Rhinolophus ferrumequinum: one gene and its partner. The protein of the gene in region 1 binds, or shares a complex with, the protein of each later gene. Links are inferred from orthologs where the notes say so. Each region holds a gene or a part of one and is shown on either strand. Other genes may lie near its edges. The genes, in order: ITGB7 and ITGAE.

Region 1 (15,756 bases):
CACCTTTATGTTCGCCACTCCATGAACTCTGTCTCCTTTAAGGCATAAACAAAGAACAGCCTTAATTGATTAGCCAGGAAGACACTGGCTCCCCAGCATCCTTTTGGGCCACTAAGGTAGCGCAAGCCTTTCACCCAAAGCCCACAGGCTTCCACTGCCTTCCCTTCTACCCTCTCAGTCACAGGCTGCTACATACCCCTGCCACCCCTCAGCACAGACTCAGAAACCCAAACATACACTTTCTGCTATGGATTAACCCTCAGTATGATGGTATTTGGACATAGGGCCTCTGGGAAGAAATTAGGGTTAGATGAGGTCATAAAGGTAGAACCCTCCTGAGGAGATTAATGTCCTAATGAGAAGAGACACCAGAGAGCTTATCTGCAGCCCATCTACTAAGCCAGGAAAAGAGCTCTCACCAGGAACTGAATCTGCTGACACCCTGACCTTTGCTTTCCTAGTCTCCAGAACTAATAAATTTCTATAGCTTAAGCCACCCACTCTATAGTATTTTGTTATGGCAGCCCGAACTGACAAACTTTCTCATATGTATACATGCATAATAGATCCCTCTACCTATACACAAGCATGTGTTCCAACAAGAACATACTTCCTCCAAATTCAGTCACAAGTCTTGTCCATATATACACAAACACACAGATACACACATAAACATACATGCACAGGGACGTTGCGTGCATGTTTATGCACACATGCAAACACAGTCACACACAGAAGTCCTGTGTGCACAAACTTAGTCACTCACAGGACTGCAGAGTACACCCTGAAAAATCACACATGTGCCCATACAATCACAAACATATATCCAGGCTGCACATACACCTACACATGGCTCATAGGCCATTTTTACCAGTTGCTTGCACCATGCACAGCTTGGATGTGAGAGGATGCACTTCTGGCAGGAAGAGGCTGGTTGGCAGGACCCCGGCAGGGACCGATCAGGATCCCCCCATTCTGTAGCGTCCCCTGGAGATGAGATCTTGGTGTCCAACTCACTCTCACTTCTGCTCAGGACCAGCAGGAAAACAAGGACCATTGACAAAGTCACCATGGTCTATAATAGGATATAAAGGGGAACACATGGGCCATCAGGGAGGACCTCCCCACCCAACTTCTCAGTCCTCTAAACTTAGCCGGTGGTTGTTACTCTCAAAACTCTACCCCAATTCTTTATCTCTCCTCATAGTTTCACTTCCCCTGTGGATTCAGTAGTTTCTTCAAAATGGCAGGAAGGGGTAAGTACCAGGTCATGGAACGGGCCTTGGAGAAGACCCATCCCTTCTGTGTGAAGATTTCAAGAGTCCAGCGTGGGCAAAACGGCCTACCCAAGAGTCTGGGCACTGGGCCTGGAGGCACTGAGGTCTACACACAGGTCTGTTCACCAAGATTCCAAGTCATGGAAGAAATAGATCCAAATGGGAAACAGACCAGGTTCTGGTCCTGCCTCAGTCACTCATTGGCTGTGTGTAAGTCAGACTTTCTCTTTGAGCCTTAGTTTCCACATCTGTAAAGTGAGGGCATTGAATAATCTGACAGCTCTTGTAGCTCTTAAAATCTTGGATTCTATGTAAGGAAAGAGGATCAGAGGCCATAAATAAGGGGGGAAAGTCAGAGAGTAGGAATGAAAAGAAAGAAAGCTGGAGCAGATGAGGGAGTGTGTAAGAGGCAGGGAAGTTTAGCTTGTACTTGATTGACATGGTAGCAAACGGAACAAAGATTAAACCATAAGAAGCACTTTCTAAAAGTCTGGGGTAACTGAGGCAGGAAGGCCAGAGGTTGTAAAATCTTTTCTCTTCCTCTACTTTGTGCAAAGGAAATCTGGAGTAGAGAAAGAGCCAAAAGGCAGGTCATTCCAATTCCTATGACCTCTGGAGAAGACTAGGCAAATTTCTGATTTTTAAAAACTTACTAATTAAAATTTTAAATAGTCAATCCATTACCACATTTCAAAAATTAAAAAGTGAAATCCCAAAGGCCTTTTTTACAGAACTGGAAAGCTGATCCTAAAATTTGTATGGAATTGCATGACTAGCCTAAACAATCTTGAAAAAGAATGAAATAGGGAGACTCACACTTCCTAATTTCACAAGTTACTACAAAGGCCACAGTCATCAAGACAGTGTGGTGCTGGCATAAGGACAGGCTTATAGATCCGTGGAATATAATTGAGAGTGCAGGAATAAATCCATCCATTTATGGCCAATTGATATTTGACAAATGTGCCATACCATTCAATAAGGAAAGAATAGTCTTCAACAAATGGTGCTGGGATGACTTGCTATCCACATGTAAAAGAATGAAGTTGGACTCCTACTTCACAACATACACAAAAATTAACTGAAAATGGATCAAAGATCTAGTGTAAGTACTTAAACTATAAACTGATAGAAGGAAATATAGGGATAAATCTTCACAGTTTTGGACTTGACAATGGATTCTTAGCTATGACATCAAAAGCACAAGCAATAAAAATAAAAATAGATAAATTGGACTTCATCAAAATTTAAAACTTTCGTGCCTCAAAGGACACTATCAAGAGAGTGAAAAGACAGACCACCAAATGGGAGAAAATATTTGCAAATTATGTATCTGCTTAGTATCCAGAATATAGAAAGAACTTACAAATCAGCAACAGAAAGACAACCCAATTTTAAAATGGGCAAAGGACTTACATAGACATTTCTTTAATGAAGATAATTAAATGGCTAACAAGCACGTAAAAAGATGCTCAACACCATTAGTTACCAGGGAAATGAAAATCAAAACCACAATGAGATACCTCTTCATACCTACTAGGGTGGCTATAATTTACAAAAAAGGAAAATAAGTGTTGATGAAGATATGGAGAAAATGGAATTTCCATCGTTGCTGGTGGGAACGTTAAATGGTACAACCACTGTGCAAAACAGTTTGGTGATTGTTCAGTAAGTTAAAGCATAGACTTACCCTATGACCTGACAATTTCCCTCCTAGGTATATTCCTAAAAGAATTGAAATCAGGCGTTTAAAGAAAAACTTGTACATGAGTGTTCATAGCACTGCTACTCACAATAGCTAAAAGGTAGAAACAACCCACTGTCCATCAACTGATGAATGGATAAACAAAAGGAGGCATATCCATACAATGAAATATGATTGGGCCACGAAAAAGAATGAGGTACTGATACATGCTACCACATCAGTGAACCTCGAAAACATACGGCATGAACGAAACCAGTCATAAAAGACTACGTACTGTATGATTCCATTTATATGAAATAGCCCGACTGGACAAATTCATAGAGACAGAAACTAGACTAGTGGTCGCCAGGGGTTGAGGAGGAAAGGAGGGTGGGGAGTGACTGCTTAATGGGCAGTTTCCTTTTGAGGGGAAGAAAAAGTTCTGGAACTAGATAGCGTTTGTGGTTGCGTGGCATTGTGAATGTATTTAATGCCACTGAACTGTGCACTTAAAAATGGTTAAAATGATAAATTTTATGTGTATTTTACTAGAATAAAAAAAGTTACACACAATGGGATTTATAGATGATGTAGTACAGAATTGTACACCTGAAATCTATGTAATTTTACTAACAATTGTCACCCCAATAAATTCAAAAAATAAATAAATAAGTAAATAAAACACACACACACACATATATATATACATTAAAAAAAAAGTTAAATAAGAGAGTGAGAAATCTTCCATTCCTATCCCCCGTCAACCCTAGTTTCTACCCATTCCAAATAAATAATCATCATTTATTATCTTTTGTTGCCTATAGTCTTTCTAGAGATTGTTTTATGTATATACAAACTAATACGACCATATATATGCTTTTCAAATGGTAGAATCAAATAGTAGAACTGTACAAATAGTAGAATACACACAGTTCAGCATCTTACTTTTTTTCTTTGAACTATTTTTCTTGGAGATCCTCCTACCCAAGAAAATAAAGAACTTCCTTCTTCACTTTTACAACCATGTAGTTTTCCATTGCATGGATTTATCATAGTGTAGCTAGTCTCTTATGATGGGGATTTAAATTGTTTCTAATTGTTCGCTATTATAAATAATGCTGCAGTGAAAATTCACATACTTATCATTTCACATGTGTGCAAGTGAAGCTGTAGGATAAATCCCTGGAAGAGGATTTGTAGGGTCCATAAATAGGTGTCATTTGTAAGACTGGTATTGCCAACATAACCTCCTCTGCGACTGTGCCAGCCTTCATCCCTGTCAGTGGGGGATGAGAAAGGCCCCTGAACTCCTGGTCCTGAAGCACCTGCCTCCTCCTCAGCCTACACTCAAATCCAGATGCTCTGCACAGAGTGTGGGAAAGGGGTGGGGTACCAAGTCGTTGACAGCCCCCATCGTGCTCCCCACCACCTGTGTGACCTCAGGCATAGAATGCATCTGTAACGGATGCTCCACCGTCTCTTGAGAGACCAGCCCAGGGCTCCGCCTCAGTGTAACCTCAGCCCTGCTTGCTCTGCACGCTGTGGTCAGGGATGCTGGGGATGTTGCACCTCAAAGCCCACTTTTGACTCATCTCTCACAGGTGGGGCCCCCGTGCCACAGTGGTTTCCCAGATAAGACAAGCCCAGAGAACTCAAGCCCCACTCATCTCCCCTAAGGAGGGCTCTGGGACTCCAGGACAGCCCACTCCAATCCCCTTCTCCCAATTCCCCACTCTCTTCCTGGTTCTGCCCTCTTTGGGGACATGTGACCTGCCACTTGCTTCTCTTAATCTGACTCACTCTCCCCTCCCTAATCAAAAACTGAGGAACATCCTTCTGCGGGTTTTCTCTTCTGTTAGAGGCAGAACAGCGACTGAGACGGGTCAGGCGCCGTGGTTGGTTTGCTCCTTTCCTCCCCTCCAACCCAGGCACCATCATCATCAAAAGTTGTGCCCTCTCCCCACTAGCTCGCATGGGCTCTACCTAATCCCCTTTCTCTTTCCTTGGGGGACTTCTTCATCTTCCCTTCTCTCCCTCCGTGGTTGTCCCATTTGCCTGGACTCAATTCTGACTCCAATACACACCCTACTTGTTCCCTCAGCAACCGAGAAACAGAGCTTCTTCCCAATCCATCCAGACCTTCCCAAGTCAAGCAGAATCCTCTGCTGCCCCCTTGGAATCACAAGGAGGAAACAGAACCGGACCCCTGGGCCACAGTCTCCCAGGAGTGTGGGATCTGTGGCCAAGCTGCCAACTGGAAGGAGGTCTGCACTGAGCACAAGGCATTAGGCAGCAGGAATGGCATCTGGGGAGTAATATTGGGAGAACCCCACCTTGACATAATCCTTGGCACATGGCAGGCACTCAGATGATAGCACTCATATATTCCCCCACCTTCTTTTCCTCCCTCCAGCCCCATTCTTGGGAAACTGATGCATGAGAGGTTGGGGGAGGAAGAGCTTGTGAAACAAGACAGGGGACCTTAGGAATGCAAAAAGGAGTTCAGAGCCTTTCCCAAGTTTCAACTGAAACCTGGGCGTCAGAACCCTCTTCCCGGTGGTTGGGACCAGTTGGGGCCTGGACGAGTAAGGGGAGGCAGGAGGGCTGGTGCCCTGGTACTCACAGGTGCCAGTAGAGCAGCCTTTCCTCCAGCGTCAGCGGCAGCCTTTGTGTACTGATCTGGGAGGCTGCAGAGGAGGAAGTGACACACCCCGGGTGGGGGAGACTTTGGGGTAGTGGGGGTAACTGATCTAGAAAGTGGAGCAGATAGGGGTGGAACTGGGCCAAGGGAGTTGATGATACAGTGATCTACAAAAAGAAAGCGAGGAAGCTCATCTATTGAGCACCTAATAGGTGCTGGGTGTATCATGATGTTAAAATTAATCCTCACAAGAACCTCATGACATAGGTGTTAGTATCTGCCCAGCCCCCTAGTTTTTCACAGATGTTGAGGCTTAGAGGTAAGAAGTAAAAATGTTACCTAAGGTCACATAGCTAGTAGATGGCTAGTCTGGGATTGAAATCCAGGTCTGCCTGCCTCCCGAGTTGATGATCTCTCCACTTCCTCATATAGGAACAAGATAGGAAGAAGTATGGAGGCAGTAAGTACTGTAAGGGGGACATTAATGGTCCATTTGAAAATCCAGTGCCCACAGTATCATAGTAGGTGCTTAACTACGTAGGCTCGGGAGCCAAACTGCCCAGGTTGAAATCCTGGCTCTATCCCTTACTAATAGTGGGACCTTCAGTAAGTTACTTACCCTTCTTGTGGCTGTTTTCTTACCTGTCAAGTAGAACTCATAGGAGTGTTGTGAGAATTAAATAATTCATACAATTAAATAATTCATGAGATAATTCATACAATTGCTTAGAAGAGAACCTGGAACATACTAAGGGCTTGATGAGAGAATCAGTGGATGAGACGTAATGGGGTGAAAAGTGGAGAGGCTTTGTGAAATTCAAGGTCCAGAGAGCTGGGAAGTTAGAGACACAAAGAATGAGACTGGGGGCCAAGGAGCCAAGACAGTAGTGGAGCCTGGGAAAGGGGTGGAGGAGGCCACCTGGGAGAAGCAGAGACTACAGGATGACAGCTGGAGCTGGGGCAAGGATGAAACCTACCTGTAGGGAGACCGGAGTTGTGGAAAGTATTCGCCCCTGGCCCACACCTGACCACAAGGAACCCTGAGAAGGAACTAGACCTGAGCTCTGTGTTCATAGGTCCGTCTCCTCTCCCAGAAGTAGCACTCCTTGCAGGCAGGACTGCCCGAAGCCACAGCACCTAGCAAATCTCATAGCAGGTGCTCATCAAACGGCAGATGGATTACAGAAGTGTAGCTCCTGGGAGGAGCAACCCGGGCGAAGGGGTTCCTTCTCTGGGTGGCCTTCAGTTGGCCTCAGGCTCTGGGCCTTTTTACCCTTCCCCCACCAGCAGAGGTTACTATGGCAATGACCCCTCCTGCCACAGAGTCCCTGTGGTTTCCTTCAGAGCTTCTTTCACTTTCTTCTTCTGCTTTTCCCCACTCTTGTCTCCTCCCTTACTCCCACATCCTCAGCCTCTCTCTCCCATTTGCATAGGTCATCGGTGAAGAAAGCCAGGAACAAGGTAGGCTAGGCACTGTCCCGGGCAAGAAGGTGGACCAGCGCAGAGGGAGGAGCAGAGGGAGGAGGGGGCGGGGTGTGATATTGAAGGGGTGTCACAGAGGGCAAGGGGAGGATGAGTATAGAGCACAGTGGGACTTGTAGGGGCAAGGAGAGAGATTCGAACAGAAAGGAACAGTGGAGTCATGGAGTGAAGAGAGTAAGCTCAGAAGAAACAGAGTGACACATCGATGAGAGCGGGAGAGCTCATGGAGTGAGGTGTTGTTATAAAACAGAAATACTGTAATTTAGATACAGGCCGTGGGTCTTTTCTTCTGGGCCAGAGACCCCACGAGAACCGAATGAAACTTCAATGAACCCTCTCCCTAGAGATTCGCATATGCAAAATGGGGGCGGGAGGGGGGTAGGACAGCTTAAAGACCTCTGAGGTCCAGTCCTGCCTTGCCAGACGCAGGAGTCCATAGGGTTGATAGAAGAATGCACTAGTAGCTGTGGGAGGCCCAGACACTCAGGGTGGGCCCTGTGGGCTCCCTTTCCCCCCACCCTACCAACCCCTCATCCAGACACACTACATCCTATTTCCTTGGTTCCCCTGAGAAAGCTGCAAAATCCAGTAGATTAGGAGCTCCCCTCCTCACTCAGGCCCTCTCCAGGTCAGCTGCTCCTTTCCCCCAATGCAGTCTCCTCCTCCTCAAAGGAGCCACATCCCATGAGTTTCCATCACTTTATTTTGCAAAAATAGAAAACTCAGCAATATGCGATACAGCGGGGTGGAGGGGAGATGTAAACAGAGGGGAGGGACAGCACCCTGACCCCCCAGAGAAAAAGGGGAGCCAGTGGGAATCTTATTTGGCAACTAAATACAAACTGGGGATTGAAGGAAGAAGGGAGGGGTCACAGGGGCCCTGGGCTCCCCCTCCCAAGACCCCTACAGGAAGGGGTCAATTCCAGGGTGTAAACAAAAGCTAATAAATAAATAGAGGCTTCCTCTGGGTCAGGGCGGGATCAGCTAAGCAGCACCCACCCCCCTCTCCCTGGGCCAAGCTGCTCTGGGGGCCAGGGAGGAAGGCACTAGGGGGAGCCGGGTCCCCTGGCCCCTCTGTAGTGTAGGAGGGTCCCTGCCCCGGTGGCTGAGATGGGGGGCAGAGGGAGCCCAAGGCACATGACAGGGCTGGGGCTTATAACGGAGGGCACAAGGTAAACTCTGGGCCCAATCAAAGAGGTGCAGAATGGACCTGCATCTGTCCCTTTCACCCTCTGGCCCCCCACAGAAATGCAGGGCACAGTCTGCCCCCACCCCCAGTCTGGAAAAAGGATGGGGCACAGAGGGCAGCGTGCACCCGGCAGGTGCATTACGCAGCATGAGGCACCAAGGGCAAGGGCAAGAGGGTGGGCTCAGCCCGCCCCCTATGCCCCCCTTTTGGTCTCTAGTGTTCCTGTTTGCTCCCAGAGGCCTAAGCACCTGGCAGAGGAAGAGGCTGTGGAATGGCAGGGTCTTCCTCCTGCCTGGGGGAGCCTGAGACCCTGATGTCTGAGGGCCAGTGCTGAGATTTTAGAGTCTAAACCCAGGCTCACCCCTCTGCCCTCTCTAGTGGGAGCAGGGCAGGCCCCCAAGAATGGAGAGGGAGTCGGTTAGAGCAGGAAGGGGATGAACACAGAGGCACCCCTGGAAACTTTGGCAAAAACAAGGAGCTCGCTGGAAGGAGTGGGGAGAGGGCAGAGCAGGTCCTCCCCCAGTCACTGGTGGTGTCTGGGCGATGGTCAGTCTGCCGCCTGGAACCCCAACCCCACGTCAGGGGAAGTCAGGGGCCCTGGTCAGGCTGGGGGCTTCGGCCTCCTTTACTCTGACCCCCAGGAACCTCATCCTCGCTCGGGGCCTTAGGGTGGGGACCAGTCTGCGAGGAGTCGTCCTCAAACATTTCAGGATTCTCCAGCATCTCTCGGATCAGGGGAGGCATTGGGCCTGGAATCTCCATCTTCAGGGTAATGGCCCTCTCTGCTCCTGCAACAGAGGGGTAGCGTTTCAGGGCAACAGAGGCACATGTCCCTTGAGGCCACCTACCTAACCTCTCTCAACTGCCCTGCTACTCCCCTCTGGGGGCTCCCAGCCCAAGCCTGCCACCTCTCTGCCCCAGCTCACCCTCTCCCTAATTTAGGGTTGCTGGGGTCCACTCCTCTGCCTAGAGCCTCTACCTGTCTGCTCTGCCAAGCTGCTGCAATTCGTCTCATTCTTTCAGGCTATCTTCTCAAAGATCACACCATTCCCCAGCCACACCCCCCTCTGATGCCCACAGCTTGTCAGTTGTCCCTAAGCCTGATCTGCATAACACTAGTAATAACACCTACTATATATCAAACACTATCTACCAGGCAGCCTTCTAAACCAGCACTGTCCTGTAGCATTTTCTGCGACGATGGAAATATCTGCTCTACCCAATGTAGTAGGCGTAGCCACATGTAGCTACTGAAACTGAGGAACTGAGATTTTAATTCAGGGCAGTTCTAAGCCCATTGTGTGTCAACTCATTTAGTCCTCACAATAATGTATGAGGTAAGTATGAGCATCGTTCAGTTTACAAACAGAACAAGGTACAAAAAGTAAAGGAATTTGCCCAAAGTCTCCCCACTAGCATGTGACAGAGCTAGATTCCAGCGCAGACTGCCCGGTCCTCACCCACTCAGTTCCTGTCGCTACCTGCCCAGCACCTCTGGGGAGGGCGGGGAGGCTCCCTCGTGACTCACCCTTGGTGCTGATGCCCCGGAGGTCAGTGATCTTCATGAGCATCCTAGGAAACATGTAGGGCTGGCTGGGCCGCCGCCGCCGCGCATATAGCCTCAGGGCTTCCAGCAGTGGCTCTTGTAGCTTGTCCACTTTTTCCGGTTCCTCCAGGTCCATGCGGTCTATGTAGACAGCGCAGTGGAGTGAGAGAGGAAGAGGTGGGGCAGCCAGTGACAAGTGGCTGATCCCCAACTGGCCCTGCTGTAGGGGCCTCCAGACCCCAAACGTTGTCCCATCAGCCCCTTGCCTATTGGCCCTGAGCCCCACTCAGGCCGTCTCCCCTGGCCCAAGCCCGGTACCTTCTCCCCTTCAGTAAGAGATTTGTTCTGGTAAATCACTCCGGCCCAGACACCTATCTCAGCACCAGTATCTGGAGTCTCCTCGGCTCCCCCTGGCTCTACCCCTTTTAGTCCTATGTTCCAGGCTGCAGGGAGCCTGCGTTGGATCTAAGAAGTCTGTGGATGAGGCCAGACAGAACAATCCCAAGGGGACGGACTCAGGTCTCCAGCCTGGTCAGAGATCAGGTGTGAGGTGTGGTGGGAAAGGAACGCAAGCAGACACCAGGGGGCGCCGTCGCACCTCCGCAGATGAGGCAGATGGCACTGAGCAGCCCGGTCTCTGTGTCATCCATCTCCAGTGGCAGGAGCTGCCCAGCAAAGGCGAAGACGAGGTCTGTGAGGGGCCCGAAGCCAGCGTTGTGCATCTGTGTCCGGTTCAGGGTCAGCCCGTCGGAGAAGGTCATGGTGTCCTGCTCTGGGGTATACCTCGTGCAGATCCGCAGCATCTGGAGGTGCGGGGGTAGGGTTAGTGCTGTCTCTAGAGAGGGGCAAATATGGGGGTGAGGATAAAGAGGGAATGAGGTGCACACAAAAGTGAAGAGGTTAGGTCCAGAAGGAGGGCCACCTGAAGCACTCAGGGAGGAAGGCGGAGAGGAGGGGCGTCTGAAGCTTGGGGAAGGAAGAGAAGTCCGAAGGAGGCAGGGTGTCAGAAGGATAGGATCAGGTTTTAGGGGCCGGGGTTAAGGAAAAAAGGGCTTGAGTTTAGAGGAGATCTGGGGAGTCCCAGATTGGAGGGGGAAGGAGAGAGAATGAAATCTTTGTGTGTACCAATTCCTTGGTCCCATAGGAGGGTCAGGCTGTGGCGGAAGACAGACCATAGGGTTATTAACTTACCAGGATGTCCAGACAGGCAGCCTTGAGCAGAGTGATCTGGTCAGCGATGCTGAGCCCTGTAAAGCCGGGCAGCCGCTTGGCAAACTCCACAATCTTGATGATGCACTTGGTGGCCAGCTCACTGAACTTGTCCCACAGCCCCAGATCCAGCTGCACCCGGTGGTCTGCACTGGAGTTCTACAGGGAGGGCAGGTGAGCATGTAAGCTAAGATCTGCCCTGCAAGCTGTCTTCTTTCTGCCGACACCCCAAAAGCACTCCCCTCGGCATTCTGATGCCCTCCTTATCCTCAGCACCAGACCAAGGGCTCCAACACAACCCCGACCCGTTCCCCAAAGTGAACAGTCCCCTGCCCACTCCTCACCGTGGTGTATTTGCCCAGCTGGCAGAGTGAAGGGAAGGTCTCCTGATGGGCTTTGCTGACCTTGGTGATGAGTTCTTCTAACTGGGGGCTCAGCTCATAGTTGTCAAGCGACCCTTCTTCTTTCACCTCTTTCTTCTTCTTGTTCCGGTCATTCCGCACAGCTTGGGGTGGAGGTGCAAGGAACAAGTCAGGACCCTCAGAAACTCCCTCTGGATATCTCCTCTTGCCCTAATTTAATGCTCAGTCCTAATCATGAACATCTATTCACCCTGAGACCTTAGTCAGTGCCTCAGTTTCCCTATCTCCTACATTAGCTTCCATGTCCAAGCTGGCTCTCCCTAACCCCACCCAGGGCCTACAGCCCCTTCTCCCTCCCCAGGCCATTCGGCTCCATCCTGCCCTTCCTGTCACCCTGCAGGAGCTGGGGGGGAGGGGGGGCAGGATATGCAGGCAGCAGGATATCCACTTATAGCCTTGGCAGCACAATGGTGCAGGGCGGGGGCACCCCAGATCCACCACAGGCTCAGGCCTGGGAACAGGGGAGGGAAGGGACTGGCAAGCCCTCCTCTCACTTCTCCAAGAAATGGGAATGTGAGATGGTAACCCCCATTCACTCATTCAGAGGAAGGGTTAATTAAGCCCTGAGATGGGAGAATGCGGGGGCTTCCTAGGTGAATGGCGCTAATCAAATAGGACTGGCCAGGGAGGAAGCAAGCTAGATCTCAGAGGTCAGGGAAGTAGGGGTAGCCTATGGGAAGAGGGTGGCAACCACAGGCTAGGACAGGAGTGTTCCTGCCCAGGCCAGGGCTAGAGGCCTACCTTCCTTGGACATGCCCACTTCAAAGCACTTCTGTAGCCGGCAGTACTGGCAGCGGTTCCGGGTCACCTTGTTGATGATACAGTTTTTGTCCCGATGACATGTGTACACCATGTTCTTCTGGATGCTGCGTCGGAAGAAGCCCTGGAGTTGGGGATGGGGGGAGTGGAGTGTCAGTGAAGCAGGGTGCTGGGAACATCGGGCCTTGCAGGTTGCCCAGGCCTGACCCAATCTATTAACCACCTATGTGCAAAGCAGGCCCCTCCCACCTCAGAGGGATACCCACTCACACACAGCGTCTTAGCCCTGGTCTCTGATCTCACCAGGTAACTCCAGTTGCCCAACGCATCCACCCCACCACATACACACCTTGCAGCCTTCACAAGAGCTGACCCCATAGTGGTAGCCAGAGGACTTGTCATTGCACACGAAGCACGGCTTGTAGACCCGAGGAGGTGGTGGGGGCGAGGGCGAGCTGGGCACCATCTCCTCCGAGCTAGTGCTCTGTGTCTCCACCGCTGGGGGGCAAGCAGTGTGATATGAGAGTTGGGGGAGAAGGACCCTTCAGATCTCCAGGCAACCTCATCATACACACACACCCATTCCCACTTCTTCCTCCTGCTCAGTAATGACAACACCATCACCACCACAGTGATTTAAAGTCCCAAAAACCATGGACAGCCCCGTAGTAAACATTTCCAGAAACCCCCAAACAACCACGATTACTGCACCTCCTAGTCTGGCCATCTCCCCAACAATAACGCCAGCCCAAAGCTTACATGACACTGTTCAATTCTCCATCTGGAAGCTAACTTCTCTGGGCCTCAGTTTCCCCAGTTATAATGTAGGTAGGTGAAGGGGTTATGGCCCACGGCTCTGAACTCTTTAATCACACCCGCTCACGTTGATTGATCCTTGTCAGATAATCTGCCTCCTACCATCCTCCTCCACATGAGGCAATAGATCTGGGGGTGACAGGCAATTCCAGGCCACCTGTAGCTGGCACCTGGCTAAATGACCTGTTGGGATACCCAGTAGGTAGAACAGGACCTCATTTTCTCTCCAGTAGTACAGGGTAGATAATCCTCTCTTTTCCCTCTCATACTGCCTACCAAATAACCGCCAACGTCCTTTTCCCCAGAAACCATTGAGACAGTGGAGCAAATGGGACACAGGTATCAAGAAAGTAGGTTGCAGGCTATGTAACAGCCTTATTTTACATCTGAAGGAACTGAGGTCAAGAGAGGGAAGTAAGCAGCCCAACGCCACACTGCCCGTTGACAGTGGAGCCAAGGCTCTCAAATCTTCTGACTAGATCTGAGTGGCCTGTGAGGCACAGAAGTTGGGAAAGAGGAGGCTGAGGTATTTGCTCAGATTCTCAGGTCTAGATGCTGTTGGGGGTATAGCAAACCGAGAAGTCAGGTGACACTGGGTAAACAGGGCTGTTGGGGGAGGGGAGCTGTTACTGGACCTTCTCTGGGCCTGTCTTCACTCCTAAGCTTCCCCACAGATACCCACTTGCAGCTCCAAAGGGGTCTCAGCCCACGCCACACAGAGTGTGTGAGGAGGACACCCTTTGTTCAGCAAGCTGCTAAGTAAACGTTTTTTTGGGTGTGTGGTTGATCTTCAGAGGCTGGAAAAATCTGTAAACGATTCAACCTGTAGGACCTGTTCCCCAAAGCTGGAGGGCCCGAGCCATGCAAAACCCTCAGACCCTCCCTAAGGAGTGTCCCACTCACCCACCTCAGGAACATCTTCTTATTTCTAACCGCTGCAGCCCACCTGGTCAGAAGTCGCCCCATGCCCCAGAAGGGCAGAAGGCAGGCCCAGGAACCCTGTCCCAGCTAGCTCCACCCACCCCACAGGAGGGAAGCCCTCCCGCCCCCCAAACACAGGCAGACACTCAATTAACATAAGAATCCTGTTGGAGGGAGAGTCCCCAAAGAAAAAAGGAGAAAGAGGAGTGGAGGAAAGTAGGGTGCCTGCAATCAATTCTGACTGAGGGCGGGAGACTCCTGGAGGGGCTGGGGCTGAGACACGGGCCGGTTGGAATGCCTTTCGGGACCCTTCCTGGTATCCTCTGAGGGTACATGTGCCACTGTGCTGGGTGGTGCTGACTGCTGACACCCTCCCTGCCCGCAGAGCGCTGCCTCATTTCCTCTCTTTCGAAAGGGCCTGGGTGTGGTCAGACTGGCATGGGGCAGTGCCAGCCAATTATAAGACTGGGGACCGAAGGGAAACAGGCCCAGGGGCAGCTTTTCCCTTCTAAGTGGCACTGTCACTCCTTCTCGGCACCCTCTTGCACACCCCCACCCCCTGAACCCTAAGGTGCAGCCCAGTGGGCAAAGGGTGCAAGAAGGTGAATTGGGTCAACTCAGCTCAGATCCCCTTCTCAGACAGAGCCCCCACCTTCAACATGCAGCTCCCAGGCTAGGCTGGGCCCCTGCTGGGGATGAGGGGGTGGGCTCAGGGTTTTTCTCCTTTTAAAGCCCAAATTGCTGAAATTGAGGAAATTCCTGGCCAGGCTAAGCGGAGCTTCAAACAAACTCTTTATAACCGGCTGTAAACGCTCCCAGCTGCGAGGTCCAGGGCTGAGAAGCCCAGACTCCCAATCTGCCACACACCTCCTCGTAGACACACACTCTCACATGTCAACAGGGCACCAAAGTAGACATATCACCAATGGGCTCCTATACCACAACCAGACGGAGGCACAGAACACACAGGCAGTTTAAGGGCACTGACTCCAACCACCCTGTGGAGGTGGATGCACAAGTCATAAAACAGACACAAACACTGAGTGCTCCACTTCACATTTGCAAGCCAGCCGCTCTGCTACCAGACAAACACCCTGGCCTGCCAACGCAGCACCAGGACACAGAGAAGCGCCAAACATGCACACACACACACACACACACACACACACACACACACACCCCACAGGGCCCTTGCCTCAAAGGACCTCTTGCCTTCCCTGATTTGGACACCCAGAACTAGAGACTCTCAGTGAAAGTGTGTGGAGCAGGCATGATGCCCACCAACGTCGTAGAGGCCAAAATTATTGGTTCAAATTGAAATGCAAAAATATACTGCGAGCCAAACACAAGGGATTTTCATGGGCCTGAGAAAAACCGGGGTCCCTGCCCAACCTCCACAAAAACCCGTCCTGGGAGATTCACTACACCTCGACACCCCTCCCGACATGCCCCAAATCTACATCCTATTGGGCAAGGAGAGGAAGGTTAAGAATTCACAAGAATTTGGTGCAAAGCAATAGTTCCATGCTTTCTCCGCCCTTTAAATGCCACACTTTTCATTCTTGTCCACCCCCCCCCCACGTCAAAGTATGGTCTCCTGTTTGCCACCTCCCTCTTCTAGTCTCCCGGTTGTTAAATCTAAGCAACTCTGCCCTGGAACCAATAGACAAAAAAAAAAAAAAAGAAAAAAAAGAAAGAAAAAAAGTCGAACTCGTAAACAGCGCTGCGGAGTGCCAAGGAGCGAGGCGCGTTGGCGGGGGCTCGATGACCCCGCGGGCGCACTCCCCTGGCGCCTGCCGCCCGGTCCTTC
Region 2 (15,539 bases), on another chromosome or scaffold:
GTTAGGTACTGGATGGGTGAAGGGGGCTCACAGATCCCCTGCGGCCGACCCAGGGCCCCTCAAGGGCTCCAGTTCAAGACCCCAGGCGGAGAAGGGGGAGCACTGTTCTCTATGAACACAGAGTTTAGACAAAGGATGCCTGCAGGGAGTTTGGACTCAGGTTCCTCGGCCCATTGCTTGCCAAGCCTTGTGTTTCTTGATCAGCCAGGCTGGGTAAGAGTGGATATCAGCATCCTGACAAAGAGAACTAAGAAGTGAGAATTACCAGCTTCTGACAAGGGGTGATTGGAAGGCCTTCTTTTGCCCTTCTTACTGTCTGTGTAACTTAGACATGATTTAAAACTCCTGACATAAGTCAGGTCTCCTCAACTGGGTATTCATGGCACCTCCCTGCCCAGCCCAATACCCGCTCTGCCAAGTCTGCTCTCCAGCTACGTCCAGCTCCTCTCCACCCCACTCCTATACACCATCTGCACAGGTCCTACCTCGGGGCCTTTGGACAGGCCATTCCCTCTACCCAGCATGCCTTCCTCACCAACTGTCCTGCCTCTGCCCTATCCTTGGGGGCCCTGCTCAGGCACTCGCTGCCCTAGGAGCCAATCCCGATTCCCCACCAGAGTAACTCACTGGTCCCTGCACCCCCTCAGCCTCTTGTGGTGTCTCTGTCTGGCTCTGACTATATCCTCTCTGGGTCAGAGTGATCTGTGATTAAATTTGTTTCCCCCAAACTGTTATCTGCTCTGAGTCATCCATGACAACCCCAGCCCCCACCACTGCAAAGCCCAGCTCAATACACGGCCAGGTCCAGAAGAGGTGTCCTGGAAATGTCAGAATGGGCCAGAATCCTGTTCCCCCCCCACACCCCCATCCTCACCCCATTTCCATTTTATTCAACTGAGGGATCTCGGTGCAAGATCCCTGAAGGGTGGGAAAGGGGAGGAGAGGAGCAGAGAGACACTCACAGCGACCCTGACCCTTCCAATCCAGACCCTTCCGAGCACTTGCTGTCTTCCAGGCACCACGCTGGGTGCCGAGGCTCAGAGAGGTAAAGGGATTTGTGTCTGGGGCCCAGGTCTGTCTGATTCCAAAGCCTGATTAAAAGCTTGAGGGGTTGGTTAACAGAGAGCAGGGTCACAGCTGCCAGTTGTGCTAGCAGCTCACTGAGCCGGGGCAGAGCTCTGGTGTAGAGGGCTGCTAAGTAGGTTAGCGAACCTCCTGTGGAAGTAGCGTGGCATGAGAACCTGTGAGGTGGGAGTCACCATACTCGCTGAGCTTCCCGTCACAGCCGCCAACCCCTCCGAGCCGGGGGTCTGCCAGGGGTGGGTCACCTTGCTGGAGCAGAATCCCTCCAGGCCCGACATTAACCTTTGCTCGGGCTGTCCCTAGATCGGCTAACCCCTTCCTTTCTCACTTCCCACTGAGACTCAGAAAATAGCATGGGCCCCAGAGGCAGTCCTGAGTTCAAATCATTTTGCCACAGAATCACTGAAGGACCTTAAGCTTGCCATATCACCTAAGTGTCCCCATCTGCGATGTGGGGCTGTGCAGATCAAAGGCGGCCATGCCCCACCCAGCGTCTGACACGCTAGCGGCTCAGTGTGTGGGTGCCAAGTTAAGTTATAACCACAAGGGAGGGCTTCTCACGTTCTGACACCCTTGCCATCCATCCCAAACCCCCCTCACAGGCTGTCAGACATCACAGCCCGGATAAACCAGTGTCTGTCACCACACTACCCACACGGCTGTCTCCCCCAAGCTGTCCCCCACCATGTGGGCCTGCTGAGTCAGACTAAGACCCTCCCTCCATCCTGTCAGCCACCACTGCCGGCCCCTCCTCTCCCTATCTCCCCCACCACACTTGGTATTTTAAATACCTTCTCACAGCATATTTCCGCTTTAGCAAACTGAGGCCCAGGGGACATGCATTGCCCAAATTTATACAAGGAGCGAGCTGCAGACCCAGGATGAGGCTCAGGTGTCCTGACGCCCGCCCTCCCGCCCTCCACCCATTCCCTCTTCCCAGCATGCCTCCCTGGGCATGCAGAGCACCCAACAAGGCCTGGGGGCGGTCACAGCTCAAGGGCGCCCACAGAGCGCCCGACCCGTGGAACAGCTCACCCCTCAGCCCACCCACCTCGGTCTTTCCCACGGGAGCCTCAGCGTGTCAGCCCCAAACCTCAGCCACCCGAGCCCCTGGCCCTGCCTCACCCTCCAGGGTCTGCCTAACCATGGCTAAGAGGTCTTGAGCGCTGCCCATGTGCCAGGCACAGGGATAAGCGCTGCTGGGTTTTCTGATTTTCCTCCTAAGTGTCTCTCACGAGTGCCTCCTCCTGCCCGCGCTCAGCTGCCCCAACACCCCTGGCCTGAACCATGGCAGCAGCTTCCTCATTGGCTTCTCTGCCTCCTTTCTCCAGGACTCCACCTTCCACACAACACACAAGGCTCCCTGTCACTACCCCATTCGACACCTGCTGTGGCTTCCCATGCCACAGCTCAGGGAGAGGTCCAAGCTCCCTCAGCCTGACTGCTCACATGCCCCCCGTACCACACCCTCCAACCAACCTCCCAGAGAAGGTCGGAGACGCTGGCGGCACTCCCCACTCGGCTTGCCCACAAACACTGCATTTCAGTGACATTCACCTCTCACTAAAACGCCCTTTCCCACTCCCCCGTGTGTGAGACGGAAGCATCCTGCACTGGGCCCTCCTTCTGGGGCTAGAGGGGTCCTTGTGTGTGTGCGACCTGCTTTCTTTCCACACAGGGGCCCCAGTGCAGGGAAGGTGCTGCCCTCACCCCAGGGCCCAGCATGTCCCAGGTATGGGGGGGACAGGCAACATTAGAGGAGACAGCCTTCCGCTCCCACTCAAACTTCACCCTGTACTTCCCTAAACAGATTCCCCACACACCGTATCTTTCTCCTGCACAGAAAGCTCCCATCCCCCACCAATCTGTACTTGCTAAAAACTTCCCCAATCTCAGGGCCACCTCAGACACGTCCCCTTGCCACAATGACCAAGATTTTTTATCACACACTTGCACATAGGTCTGGAGCTGTGTCCCAGGCAGAGGCGGGTCTGATGCCTTTCCCGCTCGCCTCCCAGCCCCCAGCAGGGCCCAGCAAGACCACAGGCTTTAACCTGAAGGCTGAATGACAGCAGAGCAGGCCCTGGACGTCTGGCTCCGGCTCCTTCACCACTGTAAGGTTTTGTAGGCTGATAGCAGAGTTCCCTTCATAATTTGTAGGCTGTAGACTCAACCTCTGACCCCAAGAGGAGAAGTGAGTGGTTGTGGTCACAGAGTGAGTCAAGGGTGACGACTGACCCAGGCACAGCAGGCCATTGGGTAGCAGAGTGAGAAGGGACGGGGGGGGGGGGGGGGTATGGGCAGCTGCAGGCTCTCAGCGTGTCTGTGTGTCTGCGCCCAACTCTAAATTGCCCTCAATTGATGTTATCTCATCTGCTCCCATGGATGACAAGACGACATGACCACACTGGGTGGCCGGGAAAGGGCGGAAGGTCAGTCAGGCCAGAGCCGTTCTGGATTCTCCCTAACCTAGGGAAGCCCAGCCAGGCGCATGACATGGTCAGTCTAAGGGGGTTCCTCTCACTCTCCCCAGCACCTTCTTGTCACTTTCTCACTTTCCCCTGTCCTCAGGACTCAGCGCTAGTCTCACCTCCTCCAAGAAGCTCTTTAGGATTGGTCCATCATCCCTGTCTCAGGACCTCGGACCTTGGAACAAAACTCCCAATTTCCTTTCTCTCACCCAGACTGGAGCTGCCGGGGCCCTGCTCCCACTCACCTCCCATAACTTAGCCAAGGTGTGAGCTAAGTGATCGCATGGCAAGCCTGCTCCATCTTGCTCTCTACTGTCCATCAGCTCAGAGTGCCGAGGCCTCAGAAAGGGGGTTGATAAATATCACCTGGATTGACATTTCTGAAAAAGGTGCTGGGGGTGATGGCTGTCATTCCAGAGGCCACAGGAAACAGACAAGTAGGCGCCAAGTGACACCAGGGTGAGTGTTCCAGGCCATGGGGTATTCTAGAGCCGGAAGGCAGGACAGAGACCTAGGCTGGAGCCCCATTTCTACTAATGCTTGTAACCCTGCCTAGTCACTGCACCCTCTGTGGACCTCAGTCACCTCCTCTGTACTGGGAAGACGTGGACCAGAGTCTAAGCATCTTCTCCAGGCATTCTTGGTGTTGGGCAATCAAAGCCGTACAACACAAAACACTTGAGGCCCTCTCCATACCTGATACGTAACTGAAAACAAAGGTAAGTCTACACTGTAAAATCAGGAAAAGAAAGTACAATAAAGTTCTGACATTTCCACGATGATTGTTTTGCTGTTTTTGAAATATCATCTACTAAAATGTGTCCCACAATACATGCTTCGCTGGTACCCTGCACGTTCGGCCTGTCTCTTGGTGAGCGGGCCTCATGATGGATGCTAATCCCGAGGCCCCTTCCATCCTGGACTCAGCACTCAGACACTGGTGCTCACTGACAGGCCCTGGCCCATCCTTCAGGGAGAACTGTCTCCCAGGAGCTCTGACACTACTTCTACGGGACGTCCAGCCCATTCTTCCGTCACGCTTCTGACCAGAGCAGGAGACCCCAGGAAGCGTGCCCAGATCACCGGGCAGGACCACCCTGGCCTCGGGGTGATCTGAGCGGTGCCCAGGGGCTGGCTGACCAAAGGTGGGGTTCCGGAGGCAGGTACGGGCTCAGGGCTTGGCTGGCCCCAAGTGGCTTCCAAGGGAGGTTTAAAGACCAGAACAGGACCCCCACAGACACACACATACACAGATTCTCATACTGGAACAGGAAGCAGTATGCATTCACCCTCTACTACAGACACACACCTCTGTGGTCTCGGCAACGCTCACATTCGCAGAGGGTCCCCACCCTTATCAGCTGAACCCCTGGTCTGTAGAAGGGTGCTCTGCAGGAGGGAGGGGGGTCATTGTCAACCTCCACTCTGAGAACAAACTCTGCAGAGACCTGAGGACCTGCCCAGAGTGGGTGCCGTGGGGAGAGGGCCCAGGCTGGGGAGGGGAGGCTGGCTGGAGAAGGAACAGGGTGGCAGAGCTGTGGAGTCTGACGCCACAGGCCATCAGCGCTGTCACACAGCCTCAGGCGCCCTTCTGAGGAAGCCTGGATCTGACCCACGCAGGGAGAGGCTCTCCCTGGAGACAGTCCCACACCTTTCCTGATCTCTGGTTCTGACCCAGACAGACAGACAGACAAGGCTGTGCTGAGGGCATGGCAGCCCCTCAGGGAAGGGGGTGAGGCCAACTTACTGGTCACGTAGAGCAGAGTGTGGAAGAGCCACATCTTAGCTGGGGCAGAGGCTGCCTTGCCTGCTCAGCTTCCCCTCCTCAGCTGGGGCAGCCAGGAGGCGGGGACAGAGGCACATACAGGCAAGGACCCGCAGACAGGCACTTTCAAGTGATACAGACGCTCCCACTCTACACAGCTGGCTGCGTGGCTTCCTCAGCCGCTCGCTGGGGGCTGGGTCCTGGGAGCTCAGACACCGGCAGCCCTGCCGGTCACCCACACTTGGATCGGTGAGCGGTGCAGCCGGGGAGCACCGCCCTGGGTGTCCTGAGCGCAGAGGTCTGAGGCGCGGGAGCAGGAGTTACCCCGCCGTTGTGCACCGTCCATGGGAGTCCCAGCCCCCTGCCCCAAGGCCCATCACCACACACCTCAGCCCAGCACCCAGTCGCCTCAGCAGTGAGAATGGGTCCCTCTTCCTACAGGAAATGTCCCCACAGCCAGAAACTGGGCTCCTGCACCTGGTCCTGCACTCAAGGCCCTGAGGCTGTGGAGGGCCAGGTGAGTGGAAAGATCCAACGAGCTCACTGAAATCACTTCCTCAATTCAGCTTTGGCCGCATTCTCTCTAAACCCTGGCTGCAGCACCGTGATCCAGAACTAATTTAATAGAGCTCTGAGCTACCAGAACAACAGAAGAAGTGGAATTCCATAAATATTTCAGCATGCCTCTGATGCAAACTGCCAACAGTCTGCAGTCATATTTTAACGTCCCTGTGTGACCAAGTCTGTCGCCTGTCATAGAAGGAAGCTGCTCTCACACCCGTTCCACTGTTGACGCACAGAGCCGGGCTGTTCCCCAGAGTTCTGCCCTCACGTTCCAGACCTACACGGTGGTCAGGAGCCACACAGGTGGCAATGGAGCTCTAGACATGTCACCAGTGCAACCAAGGAGCTGAATTTTGAATTTTATTTAACTTTAATTATTTTACATTCAAAAAAGCAGGGGACTCTACATCTCTCTCACCGGAAGACTGTGAGTCCAGGGAGAGCAACTTTGAAGTGTTAATGTGTTAAAATACAGCAGACAATGGTGTTGACTTAACGACTAGATGAAAACCACGTTTATTTTGTTTCTCACATTAAAAGCTTGCTTGCCCGAAGTTTTGTAAAGATCGATGACACTTAAAACATTTCTGCATTGTCCGCTTTGGTCTGACAAAATACCTACAACTAGTAAGAGCGTTCCCCGATGTTACGGAGTTGTTCGAATAGATAGCAATTCACCATTTTCCACACTGTATATCCAAGAGAGAAATTAAACAGCTGAGAAAGCTAAGCTCCAGGTCTGACGATTTGCATCCCAGATCACAATGAAGACGATCCCAGGTCAGCTGACGGCGTCATAGGCCAGCCCTGGCCCGCCAACACCACCCACCACCGCCAGCTCAGGGACTCCCCCTCCCCACGCATGGTCAGTGTCAGGGGCACTTGGCAGAGTGACAAGCGGCTCCTCTCCCCACCACTGGGCTAGAGGGGCAAGCAAGGAGCCCCAAGCCACAGAGCAGATCAGCAGGACAGGCTAGAACCCGGGACTGCAGCTCCCGGGAGGTGTGAGAAGCAGAGCTTGGCGTTTGGAGGGCGAACTTCGGGACACCTCAGGAGGCCAGGCAACGCGGACGCCTGGCTGCTGCACCAGGCACAGGGCCACTTTCTGCATCTTTGGAGATGAGGACTCATCCACCTGGGATGTATTTATCCAAGCTTGTTGGTGCCAGTACGGCAGACCCACAGTCCTGAGCACACACAGGGGCCCTTCGAGCCTGTCTGACAGGAACTGCTGAACCCACAAACCCAAACTTACGGTCCCAAGGGCCAGGTACGCTATGGACAAGCCTGGACGTTCAGCAAGTGCGCACGTATCCAAAAGGAATTTGAAAACGACTTCCAAAGTTCGGACTTTAAACAAATGTTTAGGGACCAACTGAAGGGATATTCTACAACATAAGTGGACTGAAGTCTTTAAAAAACATTAATATCATCAAAGACAAAGAAAGGCTAAGGAGCTGTTCCAGATTAAAGGAGACTACATGTAGTGTGTGATCCTGGATTGGATCCTAGAGCAGAAAAATAATTGTTTTAAAAAACATTATTGGTTCAGTAAAACAGAGTACTGTTCCTGAGAATGGTAACCAGAAATTCAAGTCTCTGGTTATGGCCAGAAAGATAAGAGGTGAATGGTTTGATTGTGGAGAGTTACATGGAGGGCATGAAATCTAGCTGGAATTTATTTTCATTAAAAACAGGGGGAAAAAGTAAAGTCATAAGATATAATACACTGTAATTTGGGGGGGAAAAACATTATTGCGACAGTTGGCAAAACTGAAACATGAATTATAGATTAGATACTACTGATTAGGTAAAATTATATGTTTCCTGAATTTGATTACTATACTACGGTCATATGAGAGAATGTCCTTGTTCTTAGGAAACGTACACTAAAAATTTAGGGGGTAAGGGACATAACCTATGCAAGTAACTCAAATAGTTCACGGTTCAGAGAGAGGTAAAGGAGAGGGGAGAGGACGAGGGAAAGAATAAATAAAATGTGGCAAAGTGTTCTTTATTCTACAGTTGAAAGGTTCTGCAGTTTCAAAATAAAGTTTTAAAAGTTACAGAATGGAAGAGCCGTGTTGAGCATGAAGTAAAAGGACTAACTCCTCGGAGAGTTGAGAGTGAGCCAAAAGCACTGCTACCTGTGCTCACCAGGAGTGGGGGTGTCCCCACAGCCCTGCCTCATAGCTCCCACACCAGAAAACGTTTCTAATTACCCACTTGCCTTCTGAGTCCTAGGAAGCTGGAAAGAGGGAATTTGGAAGTCAGAACGTTACCGACACAGGAGCCTAGCGCGAGGACTGCAGTGGAGGAGAGCTGGCAAAGAGCAGCTAAGACTGAAGAGCAGCACGTAGTAATCCCTTCCGTTGTGAGCGCTCAGGCTGGCGTGCCGGCCTCTGTGCCAAGGGCCTTCCATGCAAGCCCTCAGCTGACCCTCAGGGCCACCCTGCTGGGTCATCCCCATTCCACAGATGAGGAGGCTGGCTCGGAGACAGTGGTTAAGTAATTTGCCCAAAGCCATATGGCTAGTAAGTGGCAGACGGGACTCAAAACTGGTCGGTCTCCTCCAGAACCAGGACTCTGAACCACTACAAACCCCAGTGCCTTTAGATCCATGGTCTAAATCCCTCCCATGAGCTATTAAAAAGCAGGGACCTCATTCCACAAACATATACTGGGATCCTTGTATTACTGGGTGCTGTGGACTGACCTGTGTCCCCTCCCCGACTTAATCTGTTGATGCCATAACCCCCAATTTGACTATATACGGAGATAGGGCCTTTAGGGATAATTAAGGTCTCAAGGTCGGGCCTAATCCTAGAGGCTTGGTGGTCTCAGAAGAGGAAGAGATCCCGCTCTCCATGTACACGCACCAAGGAAAGGCCACGTGAGCAGGGAGAAGATGGCCACCTGCAAGGCAGGAACAGGCCTCACCAGAACCCTAGTATGGACTTTTGAACTTGGACTTCTGGTCTCTAGGCTGTGAGGAAATAAACGTGTTGTTGAAGGCACCCAGTCAATGGTAGCCCAAGCGGACTCATACACTGGGCTACCTCCTAAGAAAGCTCCCAAACAGTCAGGTGTGTGTGTGTGTGTGTTGGGAAAGGGGGCCTTCGTGGGGAAGGAGCAAAGGAGAGGCTCCTTGTGTCCTTTCATAACTGAGGGGCTGGAGGAGGGGAGTTTGCATTGGGTCATGGAACCCAGGGTCCGAGGGCGTAGACCTCAGGCTTGCCCCTACCCTGTTTCCTGTCCAGCTTCCAGTCCTCATGCTCCTTGGCAAAGTACAGCGAAGATCCTAGAACTCACATTGACACTAAAAGGACACTGGAGATCATCTCAGTCAAGCCCTTCATTTGACAGGGAAACTGAGGTCCAGACAGGTGAAGGGACTCGCTCAGTCGTTTCCGGTTTGTACATGAGACAGAGTGAATTCCCAGCCGCAGCCCCCATTCTATGTGATCCTCCGTGAAAGACACTCGACCTAAAAGCACTGCCTCCTGCTCACAGGCTCCCTGAGGAACCCTTATCAATGACAAGAGGGGACGCATCGCAGTATAAAACCACACAACCCCAGGAAGGAACAGGAAGGCCATGTCCCATCTCTTGCCAATCGTGTGGGCCTTTTGCCCTCAGTAACCCCCAGGGGAGACGGTGGCAGTCTGAGGTAACACAAGTCTTAACCACTAAAGAATATGGCCATCCAGAGGGTCTCTAGAATTGCTTAAACAAAAACAAATAAGAACCCCAAGGCAGGGCATTGATTTTGGTAGGTTAAATACTACCCATACTCTAGTTTTATTTATAGCACAGCAAAGTCCCACTTCCATGCCTTGTAACTATTTGAGATAGGTTTTTGAGCCAGCATTTCCTTAATTGCTCCAAGGAACATCAGAGTTCTGTGAAATGTTCATGAATTTCATTTAAAAAAAATGCTCCAGTATTTTTTTCTAAGATTTATTATATAAACATGTAAGAGAAAGTCCTGGTAGTTGGTGGTCAGATCACACAATAACAATCAGCCTTGAAGCAAATGTGCTACTCTCAAGATTACAAAAACACACTGTCCTTTTAGTTCTTAAAAGAAAAAAGTGGCGTAACTTCTAATTTCCTTCTTGTTACACAAGATTTAAAAGCAAATAACTACACATCAAACTCACTTGTGCAGCAATTAAGCTGTGAAGCCATGATTTGGTGTTAACTCGAATCCAAACTGCCTGCTGGCATTTCCGCCTAACATTAAGAATGCTTCCTGTGAGAGCTGCTTTAGGCAAAAAGCTCCATGTCCTCGGGCCTTCTCTGGACTGCCGTCACTTTCTTCACCAATAGGATCAGAGGCTGAACGGGCGCAGCTGGTCCCTCTTGGGGGCCTCTCATCCACCTGCCAGCTTCCTTCCCTGCTCTTGGGGGGAATGAACACCTTCTAAAAAACTATTCTGATCTACGTTATTCCCTAGCAAATTCTGTATAGAGCTGGGTGAGCTTCAGCTCAGACATGGCCAGACCACCAAAATTTGAATTTTATTGAGATCGTATTAATGAGATTTTTTTTTTTCTTATACAAGTACAGTGTGTGCACTTCTGATTCATCTTCCTCCTTTTGGATCTGCTGGTCTCAGCTAGAAGTAAACTGTAGCCTGTAGACAAAAGGGCCACAGCAGGGTTGGGTTACCACAATTCATTCATTCACCGAACACTTCTTAAGCACCACTTACTCTGTACTGGCGTGGTGGGAGGATAGAGAAATACCATGAAGACACCTGCTCACCAGGAGCTCACAGGCTAGCAGGGAAAACAAAATGGGAAAACCAAGCGCTGTGTGTACACAGCAGACAAGCAAGGACTAGCCTGCGAGAGGACCCCAGGGCCTCAGAAGATGGAGCTGCTCCTGCAGCTGGTGACACACACATTCTCACACGTCTATGGGGGACCCACCAGGTGCCAGACGTGGTACTAGGACCGGGGAAACCCCAGCAACAAGCCAGACGTGGTCCCTGCTCTCACAGAGCTTACAGTCTAGCAAAAAGACAAAGCAGGAACAGGGAATACAATCCAGTGTAAAGGTGTACAGACATTTGGTATTTTACACACACTTCACTGAAGCAAACACAATGGAAAAAAAGAGACAGGAAAACAAAAAACCGTTTTCGGTCCTTTGGGCCATTCCCCCTGCTCCTCCACTCCCTGAGCAGGGAGGCCAGAGGCGAGCTCGTGCTCTGCGGCTCCTGTGGCCGGCTCAGTTCCCAAGAGCCTCTTTCAACGCGAGCTTCTCGCCTGAGTGTGATTCTGACACCTACAAATAAGTGTGTTTTACACCACATGGCCCTATATTGCAGACCAACACTTTACCTGGTGCTCAACCAAAGAAACCGTGATCTGTTCCCACAGGGCAGGCACCAGCTGTGCTCACATGGACCTCGTGACGATGGTCTCCAACATGGCACTTTCCTCAGGGTTTCCTAGAGGAATTGCGATTACTCAATTTTTATCGGAGGCATAACTTTCTAACCTAACCCTGGAATGAGCTGAGACTCCTACGTGGCAGTGCTGTGGGACACACACAGGGGCCCGTAACCTGGCTCTGGACGCTGGGTGGCAGGAGGGGGCCAGGACCAGGCGAGGCTGTCGCTGTCGCTGTCGCTGCGGGAACAGCACTGAGCAGGTGTGAAAGGTTGGTGAGATCAACGTGGGTCCAGGGAACTCGTCAGCAGGGGCCAGGGGAGCATGAGGCACACAGGCCAGAAATACGGCCAGAGGCCAGATCCTAACCAGCCTTAGGAGCTACGAAAGGAGTTTGGAATTTACTCCAAGGGCAATGGTAAAGAAAGGTTTTAAGCAGAGAAATAACGGGAATGACATTCCTACAAAAGTTCATCCTGAAGCACATGAAAAGAGGCCCCGTATCGTTAGTCCTCAGGAATATGCACATCAAAACCACGAGAAACCAGTTCACATCAGAAAACAACACGCGCTGACACGGATATGGAGAAACCGGAACTCCCATACACTGCTGGGGGAAATGAACAACGAAACAGCCCCTCGGAAAGCAGTCTGGCAGTTCTTCAAAAGGTTACAAAGATCGAGTTACAGTCTGACCCAGCAATTCCACTCCTAGGTGTGCAACCCAAGAGTAAAGACAACATATGTCCATGTAAAAATCTGTACAGGAATGTTCACAGCAGCATTATTTGTAACAGCCTAAAAGGAGAAACAACCCAAACGCCATTATCAGGTGAATGGATAAATAAAACGGGTACAGCCACACAGTGGCCTATTCTTCAGCAATAGAAAGAAATGAAATACTAACACAAGTTACAACATGGATGAACCTTGAAAATATGCTTAGTGAGAAGAAGCCAGTCACAAACAGCCACAAAGCGATGATTCCATTCGTATGAATTGCTCAGAACGGGCCAATTCAGAGACAGAAATAGTTAGCGGGTATTGGGGAGAACAGGGAATGGGGAGTGACTGCTACTGGGCAGACGGTTTCTTTTCCGTGATGAAAATGCTTTAAAATTGAGTAAAGTGATGGTTGTACTTCTGTGTGAACATACGAAAGGCCCCTGAAGTGTACACTTTAAATGGGTGAATTGTATACTATAAAAATTGTATCTCAATAAAGCCGCTAACAACACGAGCTCACGCCGGCTGCAGTGTGCAGAACAGAGGGCGAGACGGGGCAGGGGCGGGAAAGAGGCTGCGACAGGGATGGAGCGGGAGACGACAGAGGTTGAACTAAGGGAAGGGACTAGAGGGATCAGACTAGAGGAGGCCAGGTGAGGAGACTTCATGCCTTGTGGGGGCTCCACAAGTTCTCCTGTAGCTGGTACCTCTCCCGAGAGGTAGAGTGGGAAACAGAAATGAGGTATCTAACTATTATCGAGCAGCAAAAACGTATTTAAAATCTCGCACATGTAAAGACTACGAGCAATACAGAAACGCAGGAGCCCTTCTGTCCACATACGTGAAGAGTGCGCGGGATAAAAGCCCAGAGCTGCCTGCCAGGGCACTGCCCTGCTCATTCTCCCCGCCAGACTCCAAAGGAAGGGCCTGGGCATTCAGGGCCCGTGTAAGATATTGCAGAATCTGAGTGCCTGAGTGCAGGCTGGAGAGCAAGAGAGGCTAAGGCAGATTACTCAGAAACTAACTTAATCTTTACAGATACTTTTCTGGGTTCTGCGTGTTTGTGAGAATTGCCAGGCTGCTGAAGTGGGCCTTTTTCTTGGTTAGATCAAAGACCCAATTTTGACTACACACCACCACCCTTCCAGAAAGTCTTCCCTGATCTCCAGCAGGAGACTGGTCAGAGCAAAAAGGCCATGGGACAGATGGGCCTGAACTACTGCTGTTAAAGGACCATGACTGGGAAACACAAAGGAAAGCCCAAGAGGGGGCACTTTCTGAACACTGCAGAGACCACAGCGGTTGGGACCCTGACCACAAAGACGTCTCTGTCGCCCTGGAGACTGGAATGGGGTGGGGGTGAGTCCCCACAAACTCACACACCCTCAGTTGTCTCCTTGACCCTTCCCCCACCTGCAACAGAAACCAGTGCTGGCCAGCCCACTGCAGCCACCACTGAGGGAAAGCGTCAAACACCACTGACAAGCACCAACAAAGCCAGAAGCTCTGCTCTCAGCCCATTCACATGCTAGATGGGGAAACCGAGGCCCAGGCCCATGGAGCAGAGCCAGAGGCTGGCATCCAGGTCTCTGACTCTCAGGGCCTCATACTGTTCTCTCATTCGGCCAACTCCTCAAACCCTAGCCTCTCCTCAAGAACCTGGCGCTCAGCTGTGTGCTTCCCAGAATACGAGGAGCTGAGAAGCCTCCGAAACCTTAGGGCTCAACAGGCAGAGAAACCCAAACCACCTCTTCCCTAGAATCGTATTAGGAAGCTGAAACTTATCATGGTTACATGCTCTAATTTTTCTCAGGAAAGGGGAAAAGAGCAGGTCAACCAACAAAATAGGGACAACAGAGTTTTTGTTGCAGCTCTCGAGTCTCACCACCCTTCACTGTATCATCATCAGTGTTCCACACGCAGTGACACCACAGTGCAATCAGCTAGCCACGTGACCATTCTTAGGTAAAGATCTCTGGAACCCAGGGCTGCACTGGGTGCTGAAACACTCCAGACAAGTGAGCTGTGACATCACAGAAGGGACAAAGCCTTACTATCTCTAACTCCTAAGTTCTAGTGAACTGAAGCGAAACAGTTTTTAAGCCTGCAGAGGGACGCAAACATTAAATACTTGAAAATAAAACTCAGACAGGAAAACAAAATAATCTAACACCTTTTTGTGGTAAAACAATCTGAAAGGCGTTTAGAAGCAAACGAACTAAAATTTCTATAACTATTATCTTATTTGCCAGTTTTGAAGATGTTTTCAGGTACCAGAACATGGAGACAGAATAAATATCAATGTATTACTTCTAAAGTGATAATAAACAACAGAAGCCCATCTCGGATGGATGGATTTTTTTCCTACAGCGGAAAAAAAGCAAGTTGAACTCTATGTACAACAGACAAGACTATACAATTAGGATCATTTAAAAATAATGAGACTCCTCTCTTTGCCTTCTTCCAAAGTATATAATATATATTTAACAGCACATAAGACACCACTTGAGCTTCCCCTATAGCCAACAGGAAGTATTTTCACATATAAAAATTAAAAATTTAAACTTTTAAATCATTAATATTTTTTAAACATAATACCGACTTAAAAATTGTTCAACATTAACCCATGACCCCACCCCATCACAAAAAATCCACCCCAAATCCAGAAGTCACAGTTTTTTGTTCCTAAAAATCCCACAGCACTGAACTTGATCTTCACTTCGAGCTGATCGCTACAAGAGGCCCCTAACAGAAGTCCCCAGGGAGGAACGGAAGCACGATCACGCTGCATCTCTTATCTACCTGGGTGGCACTGGTGCATCTCTGAGGTCAGGTCCATGAGATTCGGCCCCCACACTAGGGTCCTGGAAGGGTGAGCTGGCAGCTTCCCTCATCTTCCCCCTCGGAGGCTGTCCAATAAGCACCTGGGAATTGACTTTTCTTGGGAAAAGGGTGCTGGTAACAGCTGTCAGGGCCAAGGCAATAGTGAGAAGTTCAGTTCTCTGCTCTTTGGATGAACTGTGTAAAACATTTCTTTTAAAAGACACAATGTTAAAAATATTAAGAAAAACGTCTACAAAATCTGGAGGGCTGCCTTTTTCTCAAAGGGTAAAGCTTGCAGGGTGGTAGGAAAAGAATCGAGGGCCCAGAACTATGACTCTGCAGCAAAAGATAGATGCCCTTCAAAACACGTCACATTCTTAAGATGTCTTGCTGAAGTAGCAAGAGCTGAGGGTGACTGTATGAGTAAGAGTGGGAGGGGCGCCAACTCCTGCAGGGGAGGTTCCTACTGAGCACCCCACCCTGCGCAAGAATGTCAGGCTTTAAGGCAGCTGCCATGGGCCCCAAGGGCATCAGGACTCTGCCTCTGAACCAGAGCTGCTTTCCCGACTAACTTCAATCTGGAGAGATGGTAAGTTATCTAACCGGCTCTTCTTTTGGCGAGACTGTTCTTTCTCCTTAATCAGAGCCCCCCATGCCCTTTGCAGCTCGGAGTCATCTTCCTCAGTGCTGGGAGCCCTGTGATC

Evidence for each region.
Region 2: the proteins of ITGB7 (region 1) and ITGAE are in contact, whole or in part, in a cryo-EM structure (PDB 8ZJF), measured with the Homo sapiens proteins. The link is inferred for Rhinolophus ferrumequinum from reciprocal best matches to the Homo sapiens genes ITGB7 and ITGAE. Residues at the interface, in NP_000880.1 of Homo sapiens: Val201, Leu202, Pro203, Ser206, Thr207, Val208, Pro209, Ser210, Lys211, Arg213, His214, Cys216, Pro217, Arg219, Leu220, Glu221, Arg222, Leu255, Asp256, Ser257, Pro258, Thr291, Phe292, His293, Thr294, Ala295, Gly296, Asp297, Lys299, Leu300; in NP_002199.3 of Homo sapiens: Phe36, Leu38, Arg91, His92, Arg93, Gly94, Leu111, Arg113, Leu118, Ser119, Ser120, Leu122, Glu196, Glu198, Arg230, Tyr233, Glu234, Phe237, Glu238, Cys239, Asn240, Ser259, Gln260, Val262, Met263, Leu266, Arg300, Leu401, Gln403, Phe406.

What each region holds. Positions count from the first base shown.
Region 1 is NC_046293.1:53,121,861-53,137,616, forward strand, and holds the start of ITGB7 (integrin beta-7), read right to left. Parts: upstream 6,905-15,756; 5' UTR 6,660-6,904; exon of another isoform or gene 6,580-6,659; intron 5,960-6,579; exon of another isoform or gene 5,942-5,959; intron 5,691-5,941; exon of another isoform or gene 5,585-5,690; intron 1,076-5,584; 5' UTR 1,073-1,075; coding exon 872-1,072; intron 1-871. Other genes in the region: RARG (retinoic acid receptor gamma), read right to left, coding at 8,862-9,061, 9,802-9,960, 10,418-10,622, 11,011-11,187, 11,373-11,533, 12,192-12,333, 12,559-12,707. UniProt on the Homo sapiens protein: Integrin ITGA4/ITGB7 (alpha-4/beta-7) (Peyer patches-specific homing receptor LPAM-1) is an adhesion molecule that mediates lymphocyte migration and homing to gut-associated lymphoid tissue (GALT).
Region 2 is NC_046304.1:14,720,860-14,736,398, reverse strand, and holds the start of ITGAE (integrin alpha-E), read right to left. Parts: upstream 5,783-15,539; 5' UTR 5,336-5,782; coding exon 5,302-5,335; intron 1-5,301. Other genes in the region: NCBP3 (nuclear cap-binding protein subunit 3), read right to left, coding at 14,869-14,977, 15,439-15,539. UniProt on the Homo sapiens protein: Integrin alpha-E/beta-7 is a receptor for E-cadherin. It mediates adhesion of intra-epithelial T-lymphocytes to epithelial cell monolayers.